Linked DNA regions of Yarrowia lipolytica. The protein of the gene in region 2 interacts with the protein of the main gene of each other region in a pairwise test. Links are inferred from orthologs where the notes say so. Each region holds a gene or a part of one and is shown on either strand. Other genes may lie near its edges.

Region 1 (2,749 bases), on a different chromosome or scaffold from region 2:
TGTATGTACATAGAAAACAGACCACTATCCAACACACTAGCACCTGGTGGCCCTCTCCTAATCCACGAGCCGGCCGAATACCACCATACTCAGCAGCGCAAAATTCTCACGCCGATCTTATCAAATAAATCTGAAACAACGCACGCCGTCACACGTCCGAAAAAGCCCGTGCTCCCGTCTCACTCCCATTCTGGCAAATGCCACGGTCGATAATGCAACATACATCCAGATACAGTTGCAATACTTTTCATCAGCCCATTTTTGAGCCTCCAATAAGCATAACCCTGCAAGTCTAAGTGTAGCGCGTAAGCATACCTCTAAGGAGACAAACGATCATATCTGGTGTGTTGAACAATGTCCAGTTTTGTACGAGTATCCGTCGTCCGTCTCAAGTAAATGCGTCAACTATCGATAGTGGTACTTGAAGTCGTTTCTGTGCCCCCAATATCATCATTAGTTGATTACGAGCCTTTCGACTCCCTGCCTATTTACAATAAATATAATGTGCTCCATGCCCGACTACCTCGCATCCTTCATCGCCTCGTCAAGCTCATCTCGTCGCTGCTTTTCTCCCTCCTCAGTCAGACCGGCCAGGTCCGGCGGAATTTCAGCCATCTGAACACTGGGGGCTCCCTGCAAAGTTCTCAGCTGTTCCATCACCTGCACATGCACAGAATCCAGAAACTTGCGGGAGTTCTTGTTGTCGATCTTACCAGCCAGGTTGGGATGCAACGAGTAATCTGGAGCAAAATACTTGAGAAAAGGCATGGAAGAAGGCAACCGAGTCTCCAGATCAACGTCCAGACACACACTGGTCTCATAACACCACAATCGAGACACGTTGCGAGGGGTGTATCCTCCTCCTCCAAGCACAATCAGAGGCAGGCCAAACGACTTTGTATATGCAACGCACTCTCCATGGGCCTTGATGTTGAGATTGAAACATCCCAAACGATCTCCACCAAGCGAATCAGCTCCACATTGAAGCACAATAGCCGAGGGTCTGTAACTGTTGAGAACAGGCTCTAAAACACTCTTGAACAGCCGCACGTACGACTCGTCGTCGATTCCGTCTCGTAGCGGCACGTTGAGTGAGTAGTTCTTGCCCAGACTAGTTCCAATCTCGTCAAAGTTTCCCGTACCAGGGAAGAACTCTCCGTTATACTTGTGGAACGACAGAGTCATGACTCGGTCGGTCGAATAGAACGCCTCCTGCACTCCGTCTCCGTGGTGAATGTCGATATCAATGTAAAGAACACGTGGATACATTCTGAGAAGGTTCAGAATCGCCAACACAATGTCGTTCACATAACAGAATCCACTGGCTTCAAACTTTTTCGCATGATGCAGACCTCCAGACCAGTTGATGGCGATATCTGACTGGCCAGCAAGAAGCTTTCGACTCGCGTCCAAACTGCTACCTGCGTAAATGATCGAGTAGTCGTACATGCCGTCGAAAATGGGACAATCGTCTCCAATGTTAAACTTGGGTAAAACTCGCTGGAACTTTTTGATGTTATCCGGAGTGACACGTTGCAAGAAATCAATGTACTCTTCGGCGTGGAACTCCCGCACCTCTGTTTCTGTGGCTCTTCGGGATCTGTACAAGTCCAGTTTGTTGTGTAGCTTGTATCCCAGCACCAGATGGTCTGTCAGCATGAGTCGAAACGGTTTCATGGGGTGACGGACTCCATAATGGTATCGCGCAGCCTCCTCGTTGAAATGGTACGACACGCGGCGTTTTTGTGTCGTCAGAAACGACTCGTAGAGAGGCGTGTTTTCCACCGTCTTGGAGTCAAACACGATGGTTGGTTCTGACATGACTGTAGAGAAGTGGAATGTGATGTGATGCTATGTGTTGTGTTTGTGACGGTGTCGCGTTGATTTTGGTGTCACTTGTGCCGCGTCTCTGCCGATAAATCCCGTATTATGTGCTTTTTTTTTTCTGTCGTATATTGTTTAGTGCACTGGAGATGGGTGATGGAGGTGAATTAATTGTGCATATAAGAAACTTTATTGGTAGGGTGAAATTCTAGGACAGATAGAAAAGGTGGCGAAAAGTCGGGAAAAATGGCTTGTGAGCATATCTTTTTCTCTAATGTTGGCCATTATCTGACCATGGCTTACTTTATTGAGCAAGTAATTTTCTCTCATCATGTAGCACCTGACCCAATACCCACTGCCATGTCTCTACCTCCTTACCACTATACACAGCTAACATCTACAAGTACATACTGTACATACAGTAGTCTCAAAAGAGTCAATATAACGGAGGGTATAGAGACGTCAGAAATATAAAAATTCCGGAAAACCATTATTAAAGCTACATTTGAACGACTGGAAAAATCACTAGCTTGATCAAACACCTCCAACACGATGGAAACGTCCCTTATAAATTTCCGTTTTCAGAACCTCAAGTTTGAGATTAGTTTACCTGTTTAACCGAGGTCAGCTCAACATAACACTCAAAGTAAGGCACCAAATACCCTCACAGGAGTCTCAGTCTATATGAATAATAGTATCATCCACTCAGACCTCCCCAATCGACTTTTTTTGAGCTCCGTAACCCTCCAAACACCACCAACTCACCTCTCCTCCACATTCAACTGAACTCCCAACTAAACCCCAACTATCGCTCTCAGGGTGGTTCCCTCCTAACCCTAACCCTACTCTCCCGCATCGCCACATACATCATGCTCACGGTGGTTACAGTACTCTTCATTGCCACCCAGAACCACACAACAGGAAA
Region 2 (3,762 bases):
CGCTATTGCCACTACTCGCAACGGCTGGGCCAGGAGCAGGAGCAATGCTGGGCGTAGATGCGGCCGAAACAGGAGCCGTCACTGGTTGAACCGGCTTCACGTCGCTAACCTCGTTCGCGTCAGACTTAACGTCAGATTGAACGTCGGGCTTCTCTGGCTCCTGAGCCTGCGCAAGTGCACTAGGAGGCGCGGCAGGAGGCACGGCGGCAGCGGCGGCGGCAGTGGGCGCCGCAACGGGCGCAGAAACAGGCGCGGAAATAGGCACCGCAACGGGCACGTCCGGCTCCTCCTTCTTGGGCTCAACCGCTGCGGGAGTCGGCGTGTCCTGCACTGGTGGCAGCTCTTGGGTCGTCGGCACGTGCTGGGGCGCGGGCGGCGGCACCGTGGGTGGGGGCGGAGGCAGAGGCGTGGTTCCAGCGGCATTGGCGGCGTTGGCAACAGCCGGAGGAGCGGCCGGAGGCGCACCGGGAGCACCGGGAGCTCCAGGAACACCCGAACCAGCGCCCGAAGAGCCGATATCACGCTCAACGGCATTAGCCTGGCCACCCGGAGCAAGATTGGGGGTGTTATTGCCGCTGGCGGGCGTGGCGGCGCCATTAACATCCACGCGCTTGAAACGGCGCTCGTCCTCCCATTCGCCGGGTCGCTTCTCGCCTCCCTGGTGACCGTGGCCGTTTTCGGCGTAGTCAATCTGTGGCAAGACGCGCTGCTGGATCTCGGAGATTCCGGCGAGCTGTGGGAGAGCGGCAGCGGGTTGCGGAGGCGTGGGAGCGGCGGTCTGGGCGGTGTTGGGCGCAGTCTGAGCAGCCGGAAGACCGTTAGGAGGAGGCAGCGGCGCAGAAGAGGCTGCCAGAGGAGGAGGAGCCCCAGATCCAAGACCAGAGGCGTTGGAAAGCCCGCCGGGAGGCCCGCCGGGAGCCAGTCCTGGAGGTCCAAGTCCAGGAGGAGCCTGAGGAGTTCCGGCAGCTCCTCCGGCAGCTCCTCCGGCAGCAGCGTTGGCTCCAGCGGCTCCTCCAGCGGCATCGTCCCAGCCAGGAGGACCGTGATGGCTGTAGCTCTGGGGATTGACGTCCTGGGGTCGAGGAGGACCGGCGGGGGCGGCGCCATTGTGGCCCTGGCCCGATCGCAACTGCAACAACCGCTCTTGGATGTGGGGATTGTGGGGGTCCAGCTCGGCGGCCTTCTGATAGGCGTCGATGGCGTCGTTGACTTGGTTGTTGCAGCTCTCGTAGAGCGTGCCGAGATCGTACCAAACCTCGGAAATGTAGGGATTGAGGCGGATGGCGCGGGAGTAGGCGTCCAGAGCGTCGCGGTACTGGTTGATCTGGTAATAGAGCACGCCAATGGAGCACCAAAAGGTGGGGTTGCGCCCGTCGCGGTAAACGGCCCGTTGATAGGCCTCGTACGCCTTGTTGTACTTTTGCTGCGCCATGTAGCACCGGCCCAGTAGATACCACGACTGGGCCTCCAGGGGATCTGCGTCCAGCGACTTGAGCAGATAGTTGATAGCCACATCCTGGTTGGCAAAGGTGGACGATTGCTGGTGGTGGAGCCAGCCGAGTTGCTGTAGAACCTTAGCGTGGTTGGGGTTTTCCACCAGCACGCGGTCGTAAGCTTCTCGCGCCAACTGGAAGTCCTTCTGCTGCTCATGGACATGGCCAATCTGGAACCAAATGTCGATTTCGGTCAGCGGTCGAGGCGGGTTGTGCAGAATGTACCGGAAGCAGTCGAGGCTCTGCGAGTACTTGGCCTGCTGCTTGTAGATGATGCCAAGCCGGAAGTAGATTTCGTTGGCCTTCTCAAAGTGCGGGTCCATTTCCATCACCTGCGAAAACGCCTCTTCGGCGTACTCCAGCGAGCCGTACCGGTCGTACAGAATGCCGATGCCGTACCACAGCTTGGGGTCCTTGGGGTCCCGCAGATGGTACAGGGCCTGCTGGTAGGCGGAGTAGGCCTTGTGCAGGTCGTCCATCATCAGATAACAGTGGCCCAGCGAGCCGTGGGTCTCGCCCGAGTCCGAGCTCAGCGAGATGATGTTCTGGTAGTACTCCACCGCCTTGGGGAAGTGTTCCATCGACCGGTACAGGTTGGCGATGGCGGTCAGAGCGGGAATGGAGCAGGGGTTGTAGGAGAGCGCTGCCTCGTAGGCGTTGATGGCGCGTTCCGACTCGTTGAGCAGCTCTGCCAGCGAGCCCACCGCCAGCCAGGTGTCGATCGACGCCGTTTGTAGTTTTTGTAGTTGGGTCATGGTCAGAGTAATGAGTAGTCGGAGTAGTCAGCAATACCGTAATAGTAGTCAGCAATCACAATCAACAATCTCGTCAATATCAATCGTCAACGAGAAATGTCCTTGCCAAAAAGTAAGCCCTTGTCGAAGTCGTCAAAAGTAGTAACAAGTCGTCAACCAAAAATTGTCGAAAATCGGTCAGCCAAAAAATCACCAAAATCAACCAATCACGTGACAGAGGCGAGCGATATCCAGACTCGAAAATCACGTGTGTGCGTGTGTGTGTGTCTCGTTTGTGGCGGTCGTTTGAATTCGGCGTCCGAAAAAATGCCTTGTGTTTTTGTGTCTCTTGCGCCGTTTGTGTCGCAGGCTTTTATGTCCGTTGTTCGCTGTCTGTGTCACGAGGTCGAATCGAGAGCCGGAAAAATCGGGGGTGGCGCTAAGGCGGCAGCTAGCAGCAATTTACCGTCAAAACAATCACTTTCGCACCAACAAAGGGTTCGGGCAGAATTGGGATGTCGTAAAAAGTCGCCCAAAACAAGTGGTGATGTTTGAATGCAGCAGGGCAGGGAGGAGGTGGAGTAGGGTTAGAATTAGGGTTAGGGCTAGGTTTTGGATTGGTCGGTCGGGGGGGGTGGTGGTTGAGGCTTTTTAGACTTCGGGCTCGGAAAAACCTTATTTGAGTTGGGGGAACGGGGAAAACAGGGTGTGCCTGGGAGGGTTAGGGTTGTGGGAAATGAGTAGGATAGTGAAGATTATGTAATACATAACACTTATCCTAACGACCCCTGGCCCGATAATTTTATTCCGCTCGAGTTGGGTCACGTGACCAGCCACATTGGTCTTATCTTATTACCCTCTACGCAACTATCGTCCTGCCCCTGCCCTGGTGGTCAAACTCAATTTTTATTTCCACTGCAACGGCCCCCCGGGTAACTAGGCAATCTTATTTTGCGCTTACGTGGCGTATTGCCCCATTACTCATGTGCGGCGCGTCGTATCCACCCACGTGCATAATGGTGAACTGGGTACGAGTTAATCTGGTGAACGGCGGTGTGGAGGTGTTGTTGCTTGAAAAAGGGATAAAAGATGGAGCAGATGATGTGTTGATAGAGAATGGATGGCTTAATTTCCTGTATTTAATGGTGAAATGTTTTTACTGTTGGGTTGTCGGTGATATTTATTGTAGTGTCGTCGGGTGTGATTTTTTTAAATAAATAAATAAATAAAAATTTTTATTAAAATAGAAAATGAAAAAATGGGAAAAGGAATAAAATAATAATAAAATAATATTGATAATACTTATTTGAAGTAATATTTAAATATAGAATAATAATAATAATAAATAATAATAATAATAATAAAAATATGGAAGAAAACCCTCGCACATAAGAAATGGAAATCGTGGCCAGTTGGAGGGAAATTCGGCCGCACGAATACGGGTGGAATAAGAAGGGTTAATTGAAAGACTGGGGTCGGGATATCTTGGGCCGTCTCTGGCATTTGGATAATGTGGTCTGAGTCATCAGACATGG

What was found.
Region 1: the proteins of YALI1_B09894g (region 2) and YALI1_C07780g interact in binary tests that used the Saccharomyces cerevisiae proteins (3 or more experiments, as listed by UniProt). The link is inferred for Yarrowia lipolytica from reciprocal best matches to the Saccharomyces cerevisiae genes CYC8 and HOS2.

The regions. Positions count from the first base shown.
Region 1 is NC_090772.1:777,094-779,842, reverse strand, and holds YALI1_C07780g (uncharacterized protein), read right to left. Parts: upstream 1,822-2,749; coding exon 520-1,821; downstream 1-519.
Region 2 is NC_090771.1:987,935-991,696, reverse strand, and holds the start of YALI1_B09894g (uncharacterized protein), read right to left. Parts: upstream 2,249-3,762; coding exon 1-2,248. UniProt on the Saccharomyces cerevisiae protein: Acts as a component of the CYC8-TUP1 corepressor complex which is involved in the repression of many genes in a wide variety of physiological processes including heme-regulated and catabolite repressed genes.